Caenorhabditis elegans: one gene and its partner. The protein of the gene in region 1 purifies or fractionates together with the protein of each later gene. This does not show direct contact. Each region holds a gene or a part of one and is shown in the gene's direction. Other genes may lie near its edges.

Evidence for each region.
Region 2: the proteins of Y41E3.18 (region 1) and F53B2.8 fractionate together in Caenorhabditis elegans (co-fractionation; one large-scale study listed by BioGRID). This does not show direct contact.

The regions. Positions count from the first base shown.
Region 1 is NC_003282.8:15,058,124-15,070,473, reverse strand, and holds Y41E3.18 (Serine aminopeptidase S33 domain-containing protein), read left to right. Parts: upstream 1-4,720; 5' UTR 4,721-4,757; coding exon 4,758-4,836; intron 4,837-4,970; exon of another isoform or gene 4,971-4,976; coding exon 4,977-5,162; intron 5,163-5,459; exon of another isoform or gene 5,460-5,480; intron 5,481-5,520; coding exon 5,521-5,626; intron 5,627-5,696; exon of another isoform or gene 5,697-5,717; intron 5,718-5,804; coding exon 5,805-5,955; intron 5,956-6,089; exon of another isoform or gene 6,090-6,114; intron 6,115-6,416; coding exon 6,417-6,659; intron 6,660-6,669; exon of another isoform or gene 6,670-6,694; intron 6,695-6,843; exon of another isoform or gene 6,844-6,864; intron 6,865-7,101; exon of another isoform or gene 7,102-7,123; intron 7,124-7,124; coding exon 7,125-7,361; intron 7,362-7,491; exon of another isoform or gene 7,492-7,515; intron 7,516-7,547; coding exon 7,548-7,781; intron 7,782-7,826; coding exon 7,827-7,928; intron 7,929-8,193; exon of another isoform or gene 8,194-8,214; intron 8,215-8,312; coding exon 8,313-8,401; intron 8,402-8,471; exon of another isoform or gene 8,472-8,492; intron 8,493-8,526; coding exon 8,527-8,545; and 2 more. Other genes in the region: srt-48 (Serpentine Receptor, class T), read left to right, coding at 1,556-1,799, 3,022-3,117, 3,476-3,846, 3,922-4,024, 4,391-4,494, 4,549-4,608; Y41E3.13 (DUF7747 domain-containing protein), read right to left, coding at 11,780-11,922, 11,991-12,180.
Region 2 is NC_003282.8:12,523,032-12,532,554, reverse strand, and holds F53B2.8 (Coiled-coil domain-containing protein 86), read left to right. Parts: upstream 1-5,158; 5' UTR 5,159-5,335; coding exon 5,336-5,357; intron 5,358-5,404; coding exon 5,405-5,485; intron 5,486-5,704; coding exon 5,705-6,156; 3' UTR 6,157-6,324; downstream 6,325-9,523. Other genes in the region: F53B2.5 (Importin subunit alpha), read left to right, coding at 1,415-1,450, 1,845-2,015, 2,064-2,189, 2,234-2,371, 2,532-2,777, 2,827-3,000, 3,046-3,136, 3,184-3,257 and 2 more; Protein eak-4, read left to right, coding at 7,046-7,288, 7,338-7,502, 7,742-8,077.

The DNA.
Region 1 (12,350 bases):
AGTTTTCAATAGTTTTAGTGATAAAAATTGGCATTAGTAATCAAATTTTTTGCTTAACTCTATGGAAAATGTACAGTTAAAAAAAAACGGAACAACGTTCAACTCTTGTTTTATGTAAAAAGCTGGAAACAGTGAAAAAATTTTATATCAGAAATTTTATGATCGGGATTGATGAGTTGAAACTAATACATTTTATTAGTTTTAGAATATGTTATTTAAATTTCATTTAATACATTTTTCTAACAAAAAATTGCCGGAAGGAACAGTAAAAACTTTGTTGTAGATCACCATACTAGACGATTTCAAATTTCCTTTTAAACACTTTTCGACCAGAAATCTTTGATTATTTACTCCTTCTATTCACGGAAGTTTAGTCATCATCAGACATCCATCAACCATCATTATTTATTCTCGCCATTTCTCCCCAAATTACTCTTATTCAACACCATTTTGTGCCAATAACAAGGATGTCAGAATGGAAGACGTTTTCATGGAATTTAGGAACATGAATAATTGCAGCAAGTTATTGAAAAAAATTGTGGAGACAGAGATGTGAAGAGAATGATGAATTTCAAATGTTTAATCTTAAGAGCTAATGCAGAAACAGAACATTTTTTTTTACCAAAAAATAGCTTTAGAATAGTTACGTCAAATGATGACTAACAACACTTGATCATTTCGAAAATTAAGATAAACATTTGAAACTGTAAGATAATTTTGGTAAATTTCAATTCAGAAAACCGAAAATATTACTTTTTGAATCAATAATGCAAAATTAATTCCCAATATAGAACTCAGAACATTACTGGATTTTTTAACTTTCATTTTCAGAAACTTTTTGAAACAGTAAATTCATTTAAAAACCAATTTCCACCAGTGATATCCATTTTTTCCAATGTTGCATTGTGATTGCTTCTGTACATCACATTTTGAATGTCAATTTTATTTTTCCACGATGTCTCGAACAATAACCAGTAAAGTTTTTGAAACTTATAAGACATCATCAAAAATGTAAAAATATTTGTGTGCCAATCAATGAAGTTACCATTCCTTTCTAAATTCTCAGTATAATATTGACCAACTTCATTCTAATGTAATGTTTCATTTTATATTCTAAAAAAACTATATAAAAATTGTAAAGGAAGTCTTTATTTTTGAAAAAAAAATCATTTTTGAAATTTCAAATTTTGTGATCGTTTTAAAAACGATTGGATTTTACTTTAAATTGTTTAAAAATTGAACAAATATTTAGGTTCCAACTAACACACAACTATCTAGTAGAGTTCACGGTGGTTTGTCAATAGAGCAGGTTTGAAAACTTATTTTTTTGTAACTTAGGAAGTCAAGTTACCAATTTATCAGAAAAATGGTCTAGACTTTCCATTTGAATTGTCTATTTTATAGAAAATTTGATGGTATTCAAGAGAACTTCATAACTGGAAAAATATATTTGTTTTGATGTTTTTCTAGGAATTTCAATTCATGGAAAATCACAAAAACATACAGCAATGATCAAGACTATATAAATCAAAAATTTCCACCAAAATCTATGAAAATGAATCGTCTTCTGTACTACGGTAGTGTTGAAGCAATTCCTTTTTACAATTGTAGTTGGAAATCTGAATGGTTTGAAACTGGAGTCAAACGTCCATTTCTTGGTTATTCTATTATGATTTTTGGAGTTTTTATCGAGTTTCTGTATCCACCGATTATTTATTTAATTTTTAAAACAAAGCTGATAAGGCATTCTTGCTATAAAATTATTGTATTTCTGTCAATTATTGATATGATTGCTACTGGTATGTTTCATTGAGTTTATTTAAGGTTTTGCTCTTTAACAAAATTCAGTATGTAGATTAAGTCCTGTTTAACGCTGTCAATTAGCCAAAGCATTCAAATCAACATTCTGAAACAGTTGAAAAATTTTTAATTATATTTGTCCAGTTTTCAGTACAATAAAAAAATTTAATTAAGAGTTGTGTGACGATTCATCTTTGAACGTTTTTTTTTTCATTTTCACAGTTTTTATAATTGAAAACTATGTACCACATTTTAAGTTCAATAAACAAGGTGCGCTTCATTTTAGGTTCTAAACTGTTAAGGTTTTTTTTGTTTTGATAGCAATGAAAAATTATTATCGAAGGGTATTTTCATTATGGAAATGCCTAATGAAAACTTCAAAGAAAAATTATCAACTAATTGAAACAATTCACACATTTTTCAATTTTGTTAAAATTCAAAATAACTTTGAACTCACGTGGAGTTATAAAGTCCCATTTTGCTTTGATCTTCGAAAAATGCGGAAGGTGAGACGCAGGCACCTCATCTGATTTTGCATGGTTAAGAACGTGATGACGTCACAATTTTTCTGCCAACAAATTCCCGCATTTTTGTAGATGAAACTGTAATGGGACAGTCTAATACCACGTGTGAATTTCAGTGCCTATGTGTGTTTCAATTCCTTATGAGGGTCAAACACAATCTCTCACAATCAGAAATTAATAATAATATTTTGTTGACCTTCGAATTGCAGTTAATTATTCAAATTATTCAAATCAACATTCTGAAACAGTTGAAACAATTTTTATAAATTTTTTCCAGTTTTCAATACAACAATAAAAATGTAATTAATATTTGTTACAATTCATTTCTTTCAAAGTTTTTGTATTTTTTTTTTATAATTGAAAATTTTAAACTGTTTAGGTTTTTTTCTCATTTTTGATACCCAAAATAATTTTTTTTCCATTTGTGTTTTTGTTTTCAATTTGGTCAAAATTTAAGGAAATATTCAAAAGAACATGTAAAAACTAATTGAAACATTTCAAAAAAAAATTTCAATTATTATTTTTATCAATTTTAAGTTCAAATTTTCTGTGTATTTTAGTTACTTATGAAGGTCGATCGCGTACTCTGATTAATTAATAAATTTATAATATTTTGTTGAACAATCTCGCTTCACATTGCAGTTAATTATCCAAATTGTTCAAATCAACATTCTGAAACAGTAAAAATATTTTTCAGTGTGCAGCTGTTTCATCAGTGGAAGTCTATTTATTCAAGGAGCCGTGTTTTGTTCCTATCCGAGTTTCATTTATATAACTGGCACAATTGTATTGAGTAAGTTTTCATGGGAATTCCTATAGCCTACATAATAGTGAAATCGGCATTAGCTTATTTCTGAAGACATCATGAAACATGCCAACTTCTTATTTTTACTACTTTTTAAAACTGGATTTTTTTACGTTAGCTTTGATACAGTCCACAGTAACCCAATATTAATCGTTCACTGATTTCATTCAAAAGTTATCTATCACCTAACAATATTTTATTGTAAATCTACAATCGTCCTACTACTTCAAGCAAACAGTAATTTCTCAAAAAGACTGTAACAGTAACGGATAACCCCGCTGTAAATGCATAATTTGGTTACAGTAGTCCGACAGTAATCCTACAGTAACCCACTCTTATCTTTCAGCAACATGGTGTACATCCTGTGCATGTACCCTATTCCTCTTCATCAACCGAATTGTCAACATAACCCTTCCCCAATATTCCGACCTAATCGAAGCAAAACTTGCATATTTTTCCATAATTCTTAGTATTATTTACGGTTTCTATTATGTATTCTTTACACCAACATTATGCTTCAATTCTGGTGGAATGGCATGGTTTCCAGATCCATTTTCTGAAAAAGAGCCCAGTAAAGAAGCAGCTGAATATTATAAGAATAGATCTCAAGGATGGCATAATTGGATTTTTGTGACGGCGATGGTTTTGTTATATGTCATTTATTTTTTGAAAGTGAGAAAAATTGCAAGAGGACAGAAGTCGAAAGCCTCCACTGCGGTGAGTTGGATTTTTTTTTTGAAATATTTTTTTTATTTTCCTGTTTCACTAAAAACTAAAAAATAAAAATTGCAGATTCTTGTTCAATGCATAATAATTTGTTTCTTTAACACTACATGTGCACTGATTTACAACTCTTTTACACTTATCACACCGGATCCCTGGGTTTTACTTTTAGGTAGGTTTTGAGGGGAAGTTTTAAAATTTGAAAAATGTTTTGGAAATTGTTAGGAAAAAAGGAGAACATTTTTAAATTCTGAAAAATAAAATTCGGATTTTAAAATTCAAAAAGTTTCAAACAGTAAAAAATCTCCGTTTTCCGAAAAATAATATGAAGTTTTCTTTGCATCATCATAGGCCAAAAAACAAACGAAAAAATTGAATGAATTTATTTCAAAGTTTTGAAACAATGATTATTTCTTGTTTTTTTTTTTGAAGAACTAAATTGTGACTTGTCAAGATATCGAATTGCACCCAAACTTCGAAAACATTTAAGTTGGTTTTCTGAAACAGTACATTTTTTTCCGAAAATTCAATTTTCCAGGTCAGTACTGTTGGTGTGTAAATCACGGCTGTCCGGCTCTTATCTACATCACAATAAACGACACAATTCGGAAAGGGTTCCGGAAATTGCTTTTTAATGGAACAGTAATTTTCATTTTATCATAAAAATTATTAGTTTAAGTTTTTTTTTAATTTCAGCGCGTCGAAGATACTACAGCAGTTTCTGTAGCAGTTACCAACACTAATAACAACATATAAACACAACTTGGCACTGTGCCAAAGTTCATTATGTTTCTATTCAAAACGTCAAAGTCTACTTATTTTTTTATTCTTATTTTGCTTGTTCATTTTGAAATAAAAAACAAATTTTGAATCATTTCTCAATATTTTTAAATTAATTTTCTTGAATGTCGAAATCAAATAAAGATCCGAAGCAGAAAAATGTGGAGTCAGGTGTCAAGTTGTTTGAGGAAAAGTCCAGAAAATGTAAGTTTTTTTGCTTTTACAGAGAGGAAGTTTGAGTTTTGATTGCAGTTTCAGAATTTGTCAGAAAAAAGTTTTTAACAAAAGATTACTGTTTCAAACTTTTCGTATTCATTTCTTTTTTGATGAGATCATAATTACAGCCGTTCCAGCGAATAGAAGTCCTACTCGTCAAAAATCGATAAACAAATCTCTGTTATCACTTGATAAAACGCAAGAATTCTCTGAAACCTCTCAAAAATTGAAAATCGACGGAGAAAATAGAAGTGAAAATCATCGAAACGCAGTGATTCTGTCTGGATATTCATCGAGAAGAGTACAGTACAAAAGTGAGTGGGCGGGAATTTCAATTTAAATTATTTGGTTTTTCTGAATCCATTTTAATATATTTTCAAGAACAATTTTTTGTGATTCCAAGGTATTTTGATTCAGAATATTTTTCGAAAATGCAAAAAAAAATCGACAGTTTCGAAAAGTCAAAAGTCATTTATCAAGTCTATTACCAGCAATTTTCAATTCAGCAGTTTTTCTTCATTGGCTAGCTTCTTTGTACTTAGATTAAAGCTTCGGGCACGTCGTCGGTTTCACAATATTTTCAAATTTTGATTATTTTAACTGATTTTTAATAGTGAAATTGGCCTATAATTGCGCTGTCCAAAAAAGATAAAATGTGATTCATTTTTCCAGAAAACGAGCTTGAAGAAGGAGCTGTGAATGTCGATGCAGACGTAGTGAAGAATGATAGAACACTGAGAGATGAGGATTGGTTTTTGGAGAAAATTGAAAAATGCAGGTATGAAGAATTGAATTCTAAAATTTACACTACTTTGTTTCTCTGTAATTATTCTGCCAATATTGATAACTCAAAAAATATACAGTCTTTATCATCAGAAAAAGATAATTCTGAAAATACGTCAACTTTGAAACCGAAAATTTTTATTTAAAATTTCCATAATTCTTCCAATTTTCAGAGCCAAAAAACTGCAGCGAATCTGTGTATGTCCATTGCCACGTTGCTACCGTATCACTGACGCATTTGACAGATTTAAAGGTACATGGCATCGTGTTAAACATGTCGTGTTTGTCGCCTGCTGTCCACCGTGCTGCTGTATTATTCAGAGAGTGAGTTTGAATTTTTGGGTAGCGCCCGACCGTTGGCGGGTTCTGTGAATGGATATGTTCATAGGAAAAACCCGGCAGATGTCGGGCTACAAAAATGTTTAATTTCGCATTAAGTTAGCAAATCACAATTAGATTTTTTGAATGTCATCTATAGATCGAACAGATAATTTTTCAGTAGTTAACTTATATTTTTCTTGAAACAGAAAACTTTTCAAATTAAAAAAAAACCGTAAAACTGTCTGAATATTTCTAGTTTTCTAGACCCAGGCAAATTATTTTTTAATTTTATCACAAAATTTTGAGAAAGTTTTATTTTTTCACAATAAAATGCACATGTGAACAGCAGAACAATTTTCATTTTGTTTATGAAACGACTTTCTAAGATTTTAGTTTTTATTTTATTTATTAGATTTTTAAAGTTCTTAGAAATTTTAAAATTCTCAAATAAATTTAAATTACAGTCCGCATTCTGGCCACCCCGTCGTGAATATTATTTCTTCAAACCTCCACCAGATGACGTCATAATTGAGGTGAACGATGAAGCCGAGGCAATTCTTATGCAAAACCGAAAAAAGAAATTGAAAAAGTTGAAAAAAGCAAAGAAATGTGTAATTGGAGAATATTATCAATTTGGATTGAGTCATCCGTGTGCTGATGACGTCAAATATGTTCGAGGTTTTGTGTTGAAGACGAAGAATAAAAATGTGAGTGGGGGAGGGGGTGTACAGTGGAGTATTGACTAATACCTAATTATTTTATAGATATATATGGAAAATGTGAAACTGTAATTTTTGAAACATAATCTATGTTGATTTAAAAGTGGTTTCACATTAAATTTATTGTCGGTTTCACAAAGTTTGTGTATTTGGGAAAAAAAAGCTATGACATTACATGAGGGAGATCTTTTTTGAAAACATTGGAATTTTTTGAGCGTACTTTTTTCATAAAGTATCAATTTTTAATAGTCGGTATCTGGTGACTGACCAGTTTCCAAATTTTTCTTGTTTTTAGGCGGCCTAAAAAAAATCTCAAATTAATTGTCGTAATTACTTTTATAAAAAGAGAAAAAATTCACTAAAATAATTGTTTTTAACTTTTTGACTGTTTCAACTAGTTTTCAAATTTTGCATTAATCTATATTTTTAGTGGCAAATCGATAAATATTGCAGAAAATAGGATGTGTGTATGTAGGATGTCCAGATGGTTTTGCACCTCGTTTCACTCTTCTATATTCTCATCCAAATGGCTCAGATCTATCGGATCATTTAATTGGAATTCCATCACTGATTGACATTGCAAGATTCTATCGATGTGAAGTTTATAGTTATGATTACACTGGTTACGGTATTAGTGGAGGTATTGCAAGTGAATCCAATCTGTATTCTGATATTCAAGCTATTTACGAGGTAACTTTTTATATATTGAAAAAAAAATCATTTTTGAGCCAAAATTGACCAATATTTGAGAATAATAGAGTTTGTGAAAAATTACCGTTTCAGGTATTTTATAAATGTTTTGAGATTTTAAACAAACTGTTGGTTTGGTTTTCCATTGCTTTCAAATATATTCTCTTCAATTTTTCCCTGTTTCAGCACATAACCCTTGAAAAACGTGTGGATCCAAAAAAGATAGTGCTCCTCGGCTATTCCATTGGCTCAGCTGCAACCATAGAACTACTACGTCATGAACAGGACCAAAAGCCCGCCGGAGTAATACTTCAAGCTCCGCCCACATCGATATTAAGAGTAATTGGTGGAATGATGGGAAGGACGAAACATTTGGAGAAAAAGACGTGTTGTATCGATCGATTTGTGACTATTGATAAGGTTGAAACTTTTTTTAAAATTTTTTTAGAAAAAAAAGTAATTCAGATTCACGAAATTCAAATTCCAATTCTTGTTATTCATGGGAAAGCGGACAAAACGGTGCCAGTTGAACACGGAAAATTGATTTGTCAACGGGCAATTACAAAGGTAAACTTGAAATGAACAGCACCCGACATTTTCCGGGCTTCACCACACACTATGCATCAGCTGCGGCCGAGCCCGTTAGATGTCCGGTGCTCTGCAAAATTCCTGTTTTTGGGGCCAAATTTGGGTCTGCGGAAAAGTGGTCGTTTCTATCTTGTGAGCAAAATATTTAGGCATCAAAATTGAAAGCAACATGAAAAAATTCAGAAAAAAAATTTCCACTGTTTCAGTGTAGTTGTTTAATATGTAGCTTATGATATTTTCTTGTTCACTGCACCCACTTGTTCAGTTGTCAATGTAAAACAAAAAGCTTAACCGTAATCAGTATTTTGCATGTTTTCATATCCATCAAATTCTTAAATTATAATTAATTGCTCGAAATTGCAGGTGGCTCCAGAATGGGTTCCAGGAGCGGCTCACGACAATGTTGAGAACTGTAGAGAGGTTTGGAGAAGAGTTCGGAGATTTGTCAAAGTGTTCGTTTTTTTGAAGAAAATTACTGTTTCAGATAGAATTTTTGAGACGCTTGAATTATTGTTTTTTTGATCACTTAGTGACAAAATAATTCCAAAAAAATGTGATAAAAACTATTTTATTTCAGAGAACTCAACTTGAAGTGACGAATTGAACCTTTTGATCGATTTTTATGATTCACTACAAATAAATTTTCGTAAATCGAACAATATTGATCAACATGTTTTACTCACATTTTTTTCTCAAGACTAAAAAATTAATAGAAGGCACATAGCGAGATGCAGCCTTTTTTGGTGTCTGCTATATTTTGAGTTTTTTCTTAGTCGGTGTCATTTTTGATTATCTGGCAAGTTTTCCGCACAAATCAATTTATATTCCTCCATCCCAACAATCTTTTAAAACAATTTCCAGTCCTTTTGCAGTCCTTCCTTCTTTTCTTTTTTTTTCTCGCTCTCTCTCTCAATTTCTTGTGCTCTTTTCTCCACTCCCCTCCCCCTTTATTCAGCGTTTACAATCTGTAAATTTTTATTTATCACCAAAATTAATGTATTTGTTAATCGCTCACAAAGAAATATATTGAGCCTATAGGGGGAGGAGCGTCTTAAGGAGAAGGTGAAGCGGCAGAAAAAAATTAATTAAAAATGAGCGAGAAAGAGAAAGGCGGGCAAACATGACAGAAGACCAAAAGAATGTAAGTGGGTATTCAAATTTATAGAAACTTTTCGAGATTAATCAATTAATTAATGTATTTCCAGGAGGCGAAGAAAAAAAGAAAGGAGAAGAATGCAAAAATAAAGCGGAGCATGAAGAAATAAGGCTGACCAACTTGTCGACAACGTGAAACAGATCTTAATTAAATTGCATTTAATATTGGAAATTGCTTATGAATAAACCTTTGTGAATATGAAATTCCAATATTCGGATTTTTAGGGAATTTCAGATTTAGGAATTTTTGAAACGCCATGAATATGCAGAAAAATAAGCAGAAAATGACAAAAAGCTTGAACCGAAGCAACAATTGAGTGTTGAAGAGCAAAAAAAAAAACGCTTAAACCTGTTTTCTACTAAAAAATAAATGTTGCCATTTATGAATAGTGAAAAATAATGTTGTGAACTTATTTATTCTGTGAATTCACAATGACCGGTAGATTGATTATCTGGAATAAAATCAATCAGTCAAATTTTGATGAACTTGTAATTTCCATTTTTTGGAAAACCTGTTACTTTTAAGTCATTTACTTATAAAAAACCTATGAGACCTTTCGTGGTGAGACCCTTCGTGGTAAGATCCTTCGTGGTGAGACCCTTCGTGATGAGACCCTTCGTGGTGAGACCCTTCGTGGCGAGACCCTTCGTGGTGAGACCCTTCGTTGAGAGACCTTTCGTGGCGAGACCTTTCGTGGTGAGACCCTTCGTGGTTTGATCCTTCGTGGTGAGACCCTTCGTGGTGAGACCCTTCGTGGTGAGACCCTTCGTGGCGAGACCCTTCGTGGTGAGACCCTTCGTGGTGAGACCCTTCGTTGCGAGACCTTTCGTGGCGAGACCCTTCGTGGTGAGACCCTTCGTGGTGAGACCCTTCGTGGTGAGACCCTTCGTGGTGAGACCCTTCGTGGTGAGACCCTTCGTGGTGAGACCCTTCGTGGTAAGATCCTTCGTGGTGAGACCCTTCGTGGTGAGACCCTTCGTGGTGAGACCTTTCGTGGTGAGACCCTTCGTGGCGAGACCCTTCGTGGTGAGACCCTTCGTGGTGAGACCCATCGTGGCGAGACCCATCGTGGTGAGACCCATCGTGGCGAGACCCATCGTGGTGAGACCCATCGTGACGAGACCCTTCGTGGCGAGACCCTTCGTGGTGAGACCCTTCGTGGTGAGACCCATCGTGGCGAGACCCATCGTGGTGAGACCCATCGTGGCGAGACCCATCGTGGTGAGACCCATCGTGACGAGACCCGTCGTGGTGAGACCCAAACCCAAAATTTTGGCGGGAAATTTAAATTTTCTGTGAAAAATATTTTGGCGGGAAATTTAAATTTTCTGAGAAAAATATTTTGGAGGGAAATTTAAATTTTCTGTGAAAAATATTTTGGCGGGAAATTTAAATTTTCTGTGAATAATATTTTGGCGGGAAATTTAAATTTTCTGTGAAAAATATTTTGGAGGGAAATTTAAATTTTCTGTGAAAAATATTTTGGAGGGAAATTTAAATTTTCTGTGAAAAATATTTTTGCGGGAAATTGAAATTTTCTGAAAATTCTAAAATTCTGGAATGTTCCAGAACTTTCTAGAAAAATTGGGAAAATTCTGGAATGTTCCAGAACTTTCTAGAAAAATCGGGACATTTCTGGAATGTTCCAGAACTTTCTAGAAAAATCGGGAAATTTCTGTAATGTTCCGGAACTTTCTAGAAAAATTGGGAAAAGTCTAGAATGTTCCAGAACTTTCTAGAAAAATTGGGAAATTTCTGGAATGTTCCAGAACTTTCTAGAAAAATTGGGAAAAGTCTGGAATGGTCCAGAACTTTCTAGAAAAATTGGGAAAATTCTGGAATGTTCCAGAACTTTCTAGAAAAATCGGGAAATTTCTGTAATGTTCCAGAACTTTCTAGAAAAATCGGGAAATTTCTGGAATGTTCCAGAACTTTCTTGAAAAATCGGGAAAATTTTGGAATGTTCCAGAACTTTCTAGAAAAATCGAGAAAATTCTGGAATGTTCCAAAACTTTCTAGAAAAATCTGGAAATTTCTGTAATGTTCCAGAACTTTCTAGAAAAATCGGGAAATTTCTGGAATGTTCCAGAACTTTCTAGAAAAATCGAGAAAATTCTGGAATGTTCCAGAACTTTCTAGAAAAATCGAGAAAATTCTGGAATGTTCCAGAACTTTCTAGAAAAGTCGGGAAATTTCTGGAATGTTCCAGAACTTTCTAGAAAAATCGAGAAAATTCTGGAATGTTCAGAAAAATTGAGCTTAGAGCTTTAGAAGAGGTAGTTATTTGGGAGTTGATGGGGGATCAAGTCAAGGTACTGTAGTGGTACTATAGGGGTACTGTAGGTATACGGTAGGGTTACTGTAGTTTTGGAAAATTTGACTTTTCGTCCTTTGAAGAGGTATTGGGTTAGGAGTCGGTGGAGGATAATGTCAAGGTACTGTAGTGGTATTGTAAGGTTACTGTCTTGGTCAAAAAGTAACAGAAAGTTTTCATACTGTCTGTGAATTTTTGAAACATGCATGTCGTAGAAAAATACATACATGTAACAGTGCCAGTAAACCGCGTTTTAAGTGTTTCAAGTTTTTTTCATGATGAGAAATTTTTTGAGTGATTGAAGGTATGTGTGTCAAATACTTTTAATGGTGCCAGTCGTTGCCCGCGCCGTAGGCGCGGTCAGCGGCTGGTATATATATATATATATTCTGATGGAGTGATTTGATCATTCGAAACTGTGAAGATACCGTTTTCTTCGTCCAGTGTTGAACATGTTCTTTCTGTGCGCATGTACATTCTCTTCGTTTTTTCACCAACGCCTGCTGTAATTTTTCAAAGTTCAACCGCTAACGACAACCTCATATAAATGCATCTAGAAAACGCAACTAACATTTTGTAGTCCACGGGGAAAGACCATCAGCAGCGTGGTAGGCTTGTCCATCAGTATGAGCAGAAGAGACGAAGAATACGAAAACACCAATAGTCTTGATTAACGGTGGTACATCAGGTAGGTTTTTGTTCAGGGCGCCAATTTCCTCCAATGTTTCAGCTTTGTTGTATAAAAAATCCAGCAAATTCATCTTGTTCTGCGCCCAGCCCACGTTGTTCGAACGCAACTTCAAGAATACACCGGCTCCACGAGCACCCTCTATGAGCTTCGGCTCAAACTGAAAAAAAATACAAATTAGAGAGAAGGTTCCCGATTATATAATTACAAACCGGCAAAGCACTGCTCACTCCACACTGCGCA
Region 2 (9,523 bases), 2.5 Mb from region 1:
ACTAAATAACACAATAAATCACGAACTGTTTTTTACAAAAAATACAAAATTTAACCAGTTTCAAAGTTTGACTTTGAATCACGGTCTAAAAGTCATAATCAGAATTCAGTAATAAGTGCTTGCAACATTCTCCCAGGTGAAAATTTTCATCATTTTCATTGTTGGAATTACGCAACAGATTCTGTATCTGACGTTTGACATTTTTGAACCCCGTATTTTGTTCAAATTCAAATTCAAATACCCTATCCGTCGTCCATTTCTATTTTCCAATTTCCGGCGGCAATTTGATGGGATAGTGATATGACAATCTGTTACTCATTCCCTTTGGCGGTTTTTGTAGAGAACAATTGCACTTTATTCTAGATTTAAATTTGAGTTGGGGAGAAGTTGGACAAGATGGGAACACGGGTGTGCTAGAAATATTATGAAGATTTATGAGGAATTATATAGTAATTAATAAGTAATGAAATAAGAAGACTAGATGCTTAAATTGCTGTTAAATTAGAACTACAACCATGGTTCTTCTTTTCAGCTGTATCGCTAAAGTTTGGCGAGCGGCATTACATAAGAGACGTCACATGGATAACTGATATTTGACTCAGATTAATGCTTATAAATATGTCGTTCGTTAACAAATGTATGCGAAAAGAAGACTTTCCATTTTCGGTGGAAGGACTCAAATTCGGGCTCCATTTCATTGCAGCCCATGTTTCACAGGATCGATTTTAATTCAAAAATGTTTAAATCTCGCATGTGTGACATTCTAATTTCCCCTTGCTCAAGATAAAATCTTTTTTCAAGAACTTGTGTGAACACACATTCGACCTCTAAAAATTCACAAATTCTACTGTCTGCGTTTCATCGCTCCACGTTCTATCTTGCCAAATTTTCCTCGATTAATTGACAGCTTCACAGGAGATAGGTATCTATAGATGGAACCGAGAGGAACACACAATTTGGCGTATGTTATTTATGTATTAAGTTGGCATCGTTCTAGATACTTGTTGGTAGATCGAGGGAAAGTCACACTTGATCCCGGAGAATCGTGGGAAGAGAAGAAGAGAAATTTAAACTAAGAATAGGGAAGATTCACACTTGTTGTCTGCTAAGTGCTAAAACCTAGTGACCTAGGTTATGAACGGGCATTAGATTTGGAACATGTTGTGTAAAGTGGGAAAATTGAAAATTCACAAATTCTCTTTGCAGGGATTTCTGCTTACACTAACTATAAGAAAGTTCAAATATATTTTAATAAGAAGTGTATTAGATAATTAAATTTTAAAAAATTCACTCAAAATCACTGCAATTCTTCCACGCGATATTCCATTCGGATTTTCTCATACGTGCAAACAAACACGTGGAACTTCCAATGAAATCAATATAACTTTATTTCTGTTTTACACTCGCGGAGAATATGGTTAAATCTACAAAGAAAGCGAAGCAGGAAATGGTAAGAGTATATCAGAATCAGACGGCTGGCAAATCGGATGTTTCTCTTTTTTTATGCTGCAATGGTTTACCAAGAATGATTTTTTTGGCGGGGCAAAACCTGAATTTTTTGTAGTTGAGTTGCACTCGCGCTCCAACGCAAATTGAAAACCATAATTTGGTGGTCGTTATGTATGTTAAACTGTGATCTCGATTTCTTATTATGGATGGGACCGTTTTCATTTGACATTGGAGCACAATTGCACTTCCATCTCAAAATACACAGTGTTGGCTCGCTATAATGAAATTCAAAAAAATCTGATACGCAGAAAGGAAAGCCAAAAAAAAGCATAACGTCCGACTTGTTAGCCTCACTCGGACGGCAACTTTCTATCTATACTTCAATTTTTATACAGAATTCCCAACCTGAACAATCAGCAACATTTGACATTTCCTTTATCATCTCAATGCTCGAATCCTCATGCCGTATTCAACTGTCCACAGCTCTACACTTTTTTCGTAAAGCTTTTGCCAATCAGTCAGATTTATCGAACATCGCTCTGAAGGAGCAGTTTTATGGAAGAATTGTTAGTTCCGACGAAATTGTTTCAATTAATTCAAACTCTTTTTTTTAGAAGAATGGCGTTCTCAATGCTCTTCGTAATCAAACGTTAGACATTGACAGTGAGGTTAACGCTGTTTGGATTATCACTAATATGTGTTGTATTAGCCAGGAAGTTACTCACTTGTTTGTAAACTCGGTCAGTCTGAAAATTGATTTTTAGGAAAATTGTTTTTTTTTCAGAATTGTCTAGATATCTTGATCAAACTCGTTCGGTCTCAAAACGCTCGTCTCTCAAGTCAAACTGTTTGGGCAATTGCAAATATTGCAGCTGATTGTTCTTCGTGCAAATTGAAATGTAGATCACCTAAACTTTTGAAGGTAATTATAAGGGTTTGTAGGACATTTTAGAATCCATCCACAGCACAAATGAAAACAACTGTTACGGCTGCATTTAGGCGCTTTAGGCAGGCGCTTCAGGCAAGCGTCTGGCCTTTGAAAGCATGCCTGTCTACCATGTCTAAATAAATTCCAACTTCAGATACTCGCCAGAAACTTACAAACGTCGTATAAACTCGACGATGCAGACCGACGCCAACTCATTTGGTGTGTCAATAATATTTTTTCCGGTGGCCGAACAACGATGCCATCACCAGTAGCTCGTTCACTTATTTGTGCTTTGTCTGCAATTTTACTCGACACAGACGCTGTCGATAATATGGGATGTGGTTCAATGATTTTATGGACTCTTGCCAATTTGGTTGACAACTCACTAGATACCACACGGGTTTGTTTTCGGATTATTGTTAATCAAAGTTCTTTACTAAAACTTTCAGATCGACATGCTTCTTTCCCAAAACTACGTTGTTGAGCATATTCTCGAAAAATTTATTGATCAAACGGACAAGTCATGCAATGTTTCATGCCTCCGCCTTATTGGAAATATTGCAGTCGGGAATGATGTTCAGACTGATCTGTTGGTTGATAATCCCAAGTTTAGAGTTGTTATGGTACGTTTTTGACATCAAAATTGAAAATTAAAAATATTTTTTCAGAATATTGCAATGTCATCTCCGGAGCATCACAGTGAAGCCGCATGGATCATATCAAACGTTGTTGCCGGTGCTCCAAGACACGTGGATTACAGTTAGTTTTATATTTATTTGATTACTGAATAGGATCTATGTTTTCAGTAATGGATGATCCAGATGCTTTCTATGAATGGGTGATGGCTGGGATTCATACTGGAGACAAACGCTTGAGAAAGGTAAGCTGATATAAAATTATATGAACAGTATTTTATTTATTAGACATGCACCACCATTGTTTTACATTGACAGGGCATATATCTCGATTCACTTCCGTTTTATCAAAAAATTGTCAACTGAAGAAATACGTGCAAAATGTTTTTCTACGTTTTGATAGTGAAATTGTTTGATAACACTTGAGACAGTCAAGATATGAGCCGTCAAAGTGAATTAATGAGGGTGCAAGTACAATAGAGACAATACTGTAGTTAGCTTTGAACACATCTTTTGAAACAAAATTTATTTTCGAGCTTAGAAATTATCTATGGTTATTTCAGGAATGTCTGTGGATTATTGGAAATCTATTGGCAACTGCAGATGAGCATCAAACGTATCTTCTCGTCTCCTTAGGAATAGTACAGCATTTTCCAGCTCTTCTCGATTTTGATGATGTTCGTTTGAATGAAAAGGCGGCGACAACTGCAACTGAACTGCTCCGTGAGCATCCATGGCAGTACACATTGTTCCAACGTTTGGATATTTTGGGATGTATTGAGAGAGCTGGAGCAAACGTTAGTTGAATATCCTTAGACTTAACAATCCGTGTGTTTCAGTTTTCGATTCAAAAAGCCGAACTGAAATCTTTGATGAATGACTTGGCGCCACCTGAACGGAAAGATGAAGATATTGCCAAAGGATGTTCTGTGATTTGCTACAGCAAGCTCTCAGACGACTTTCACAGCATGAGCATTTGAATTTACTCGTTTGAAAATAAAAATACGAATTTTGATTGTGTAGGTTTAAAATATCAACCCATCAATCAGCAGAAAATGTTGTCTAATTACGTTTCTGTGATATTTAAAATTACTTGAACATTTCCAATACACCTGTTTTTATTTGTTCACTCGAATTCCAATCAGATTACTGACAGATTACTGGCTCTTCAACTGCGATTTTTCTACCGGTTTGTGTACTCTTTTTGGACAATTAGATGTTATGTGCACTTCCTGAACAGGTGCATAAACAATTGATGAGATGATGATGAATAGATGGATTAGGAATGGGGGAAAGAGGATTTTAAATGTTTTTGGAACATAGGGGGTAATTACCGGTAATTGATTTTTTCCAAATTTCTTCACTCCTAAAATATTTCAAGTTTTCAGGCAACAAAATGTGAGAAAAAGGATTTTTTTAAAGTTAAATATGATCAGTAAAGTGTCGGCTTCCATGATTTTTACAAATACACAATTATTATAACATCTCTTTTAGGTTTTTAGGTAGATTTGCATTAACTTTGCCAAAACTATTCGACTCTTCCAACTACAAAAATGTTTTCCAGTTTGAATTCAAATACCCGTCGTCCTTTTCTATTTGCCAATTTCCGGCGGCAATGTGATGGGATAGTGATATGACAATCTGTTACTCATTCCTTTTGGCGGTTTTTGTAAGGAACAAAAGCACTTTTTCTAGATTTGAATTTGAGTTGGGGAGATGTTGAACGACGACGATGAGCTGTTAGATGTTTTAAATCTTGAATTGTATAGTAATTCATAAGATTAAAAATCAGAAAACTTAAAAACTTAAATTTGAATATAAATATACCATAACTTTATGTCATCGATAAAAATTGGTCACACAGTAAAAACCGAGGGTTGCTGTACCTGGCAGTAGTCTGAAAAAATCAAATGTTAATGAAAATTTCGAATATTAAAAAATTTAAAACATTGCCTAAGTTAAAATTTTCGAAATGCTGAAATGCTTTGGGTGTAATATTTGTTAAGCATATTTCTAGTGAATTTTGTAGTTAAAAATTTCAACACTTTGATTTCGCAATCCCGTCACCCATCTTTTCCCTCTGGGTCTCACGATTTCCCCATACTTTCCAATAATCTTTCCTGTCAACATTCCCATTTCACATGACATTTTCAATTTTAATACTACCTTACTCATAGTCAACATCACTATTTCAGAATTCCACACTTATAAACATTATTGATGATAAAAACTCTTTGATAAGAAATTGATACAAAAACCCTCCTCAGTGCCTGCAATTTCAGTGGTTACTTGTACTGCTAAAATCAATTGCTTTGAACTGAAAATGCCAATGGGCAAGAAGTTGTGTAAGTTTTTAAAGTCGAGAAAAATTTGAAAATGCTCAAATTTACAGTGGGAAAGCTTAAGAGAAATAAGGTGGAGGAGCCACAGGTGGAGCCGGAGGAGGATTTGGGAGATGCTATGAGTACGCAAGGTTAGTAAGGAATTACATTTGACTTTTAGTGTTGAGCGTCGATTGTAGTGTTCGGAAAATTTTAGTTCACTGAACGGTATAGCAAATACGCAAATTTGACGCGAAAACTTTATAAACAACAGATTTGACGAGCAAATTATCGTAATAAATCTATGTGATAAGTCTAGTTTACGTTTGGCAGATTATATTACATACTCGAATGAGATTCGCAAATTTCAGAAAAAGATGACGTGAAAGTTGGGAAGAAAAGAGCCCCGAAGAATAACATGGGTGGAAAGAAACGACTGAGATCCAAGCTGGGAAATGTTGGGAAACACCAGAAAAGGGTACGCTCCAAGGAAAACACTCCGGAAAGAAAGCTGGAAAAATTGGAGAAACTCGAACTTCAACTGACCTTAAAACGAAGTCGAGAGGAGCAGAAACGAGCCAAAAAAGATAAGAAACTGGAGAGAAAAGCACTGAAGATTCAAAAAAAGTTGGAAGCTTTGAGAAGCATCAAGGAAAAACCACATCAAGGCTCTGAAGCACAAGGGCCAAAAGTCCCCAGAGCCAGAAAGATCCGGGTACCAGCCCCAAGACCACCCCGTCTTCCATATTTGGCTCTAGTCGCCAATCTTCATAAGGCTCCGAAAGCATTGCGTGATATGAGAGCTGCTGCTTCACGCCGTTAGTGTGGGCTTTGGATCATTTGGAAGAAAAAAAAATTGTTAAGTGGAAAATTAATAAGAAGAATATGAATCTGGATGTCAAATTTAATTTGTGGACGTTTTGAATTTTTCACTTTGAAGTTTTTATTTGTTAATAAAAAATGTTTGATTCAAAATTTACAAATTTCAAATCAGCATACCAAAATCTTCGAAATGTAATCATGATTCATGAGAGGTCTCGCCATGAAAACTAATGGTTATGGTAGATTTTTTCAATCTTATTCGAAATTTCAATTTGAAACTTGATCTTCAAAGTGAGACCACATTTCCCACTAACGTTTTTTATCTGCTCACTATCAGATCAAATTTAAGATTCAGAAAACTTGCTAGCTACAGTAACCGACACGTTTTGTAGTGAGACCCGATCTGCTTCGTAAAAATTCACATCTGCCTTGTAAGGAGACCTACACCTGATTCCTGCCTACAAAACGTGCCTATAGACTTGCAAAATTATTTCCGATCCTTTAATTGTTTGCAAAAATTCAGATGCCTAGGCAGTAGGCAAGCTTGTAGGCAGGCAAGAATACAGTAGGAGGAAACGTGCTTGCCTACTGGAATTTGGGAAATTTCTTCATAATCCGGTAAATTAAATTTTAAGGAGAATTCAGACTGTTCCCACAGCAATTTAAATCCACTTCCCTTTCCAAATTTCTGTGTCTCACTCCACTTTTGTTATAATTTTACGAATTTTTATTGCTTCCCCTTTTCCTAATTTACAGTATTCCTTGTTATCGAAAATATGTATGAATTCTGAGAAAAATTGGTCAAAAAATATAAAAAGACAAAAAACAATTAGCAGCCCCAGACCATCTCGACAATTTCCCCCATTCATTCTTACTTCCTCCCCACCATCATGGGACAATGCCTTGCCGTTCATCGCCGAATCATGGCGTCACAGGAGTTTCCGAATATTCCTCAGCCGGAGTCGCAGTGTCATGATGCATTTATCCGGTATTCCCCAGGAAGATACGAACGTCGGGCTGCACGATCCCAAGTCGACTATTATCTACTCCCACAGGCACCGCGGTTGATGACTGAGGATTTGGATAAGAAAGAGTTTCAGCGACTCTATGATGCTCGTTGTGAGCTCGTTGAGGTGAGATCTTTCACAATTTAATTTTGAAAAAAACCTTCAATAATTTCAGTGTCCAGCCGGAAGGCGTGCAATGCAACTGGATGTTCAGATCTATGCGGATCGTTATGAGGCGACGCTCAACAAGATTTTGGAGACTTCTCAAGAGCTTGACAAAGGCCTTGAAGACATTTTCCAGGCCTACACAAAAGATGATCCACTGGCTGATAAGGTTATGGTGAGTGGTATTTCGGAAGGGATTAAGGGAAATCAGACGGGTTGCGTAACTGTCAAAATCATTCATTCTGGCGCGCCAAAGTCATGCCCAACTATTGCCCAAGTTTAGCCAACTTCTAATCCAAGTTAATATTTTTTGGGTCAAACTTGGACAAGAAGCTAGAGCCAGATCCCGGGAATGTATCAATATGATCAAATTCCTTAACCTCTATTTTACATGAAAAATTTAATTATATTTAGAACTGCCGCTTGACCGTCGACGAAATGGGACGAGTGTACGAGCACTTCTTCCGCGAATCGGCATGGAACCTTGACAGCTTCGTGGAGTACCGGAAGAATCTGGCACGAGATGCCTACTTGCTGCTTGCGGATCTGAAAATCGCAATCCAACGTCTCGGCATGCACTTCAATCCGAACTTTGAAGACGCGCAAGTCAAGGTGGACTTCCAGATTATGCAGGCCGAGCAGATCATCTTTCACTTCAAAAGGACATACAGGGACGCACTGAAGCACAACCCTGACTCGATTACAGAGTTTGTGGAGGACGAGCTGGAAGATCCTGGAACACCGTTGTAATTTTTATTGTCATTCTTTTTCTGCCGTTTTCTTATCCTTCCCCATTAGTTACTGTAGTTCAGTCTTTTTTGAATTTCAATAAAACTACAACAAAATCAACATTTTTCAGTAATACATAATATTCTTTAATTTTGCAATGTATGTCTAGACAGCCAAGAGTTAGAAGAATTATAGAAAAGGAAGCAATTGTAAAGAAAAAAATACTTTTCGAACTTCGGTTTTCATATTATGTATAATCATGGGACGAATAAAAAGACAGAAAAAAATAATTTAAAAACAATATTTTAATAATTTTGATACAGTGGCCAAGAGGTTTCGTGGTAGGATCCTAGGCAAGAAATGGGTCCTGAGTAGATGTGAAACTTTTAAATTTATAAGCCTTAGATTTGGAAATTTAGATTTGTTTTCAAAATGAAAACATCCGATTTAAGATTAAAATTGAGTGAAACTTGTTGAGAGATTTAAATTATGTCACCATATATTCCAATTGAACAGAATTTTGTGGTTGCTGACCAAGTCTGATGATGAGCCAAAGTATATGGCTAAAAAAAGTAAAAACTACTTGTTCTTCCTGATGCGTCGGTATTGATATTTGACTGTAATCACAAAAACCTTAAACTTCGAAAAATCGAGTACATTTTTCAGCACATGTGTCGTGCGGTGATCTCAACTCATAATTACGCCCAACTTCGAATCCCTGAATTATACCTCATGTGATGCCACATTTTCTCAATTGCTCGTCATGTCTAGCAAAGTGTGTCTGAATTTTATTTCATAACAAATTATAGCAAAAACGTGTAGTTTTGCTGTTTCGCACACTTGATGCTGTTACCATAAATCTGAATCAGTTTTTGAGAGCAGATTTTCAAACGGTTTCAAGTTTTTCAATTTTTTTTGGAAACTCACATCTTAAACCTTGAGTATTTCTTACAAAAACATTTTCCTAATTTTTAAAAACTTTTCATGACGCATGAATGAATGCAAATAACGGAATTTCCAACTTTTACAAAATTTAATTTTAAATTTGAGAAGATTATTGTGGTTATTTTAAAAAAAACATCAACCTTAGCTTTCCGTAAAATGATTTCCGATTTTCCAATTGTTAGATAATTATATTTTCACCTATTTTTTTATGCGGAACCAATATTTGATATTGCAAAAACCATTACCCTTTTTATGAGCTGTTTACCATTTATAATTCCCAGTATTTGCCAATTCAAAATTTCCCACCGGGAAAGTCCTTGTTTTTCTACATTTTCTGTTTTCTGCAACCATTAAAACACTTTTTCATAAAATGCATCATCTTTTGTACATATGTCTTGTGAGGAGCACTACTCATAATTACTCTAAGTTTTGAATCACTGTGTGTTGCCAGGTTTTCATAATTGCGTGTCTAGTAATCTTTCCCTGACATTTTTCAATGAAAAATTCTAGCAAAAAAAACAA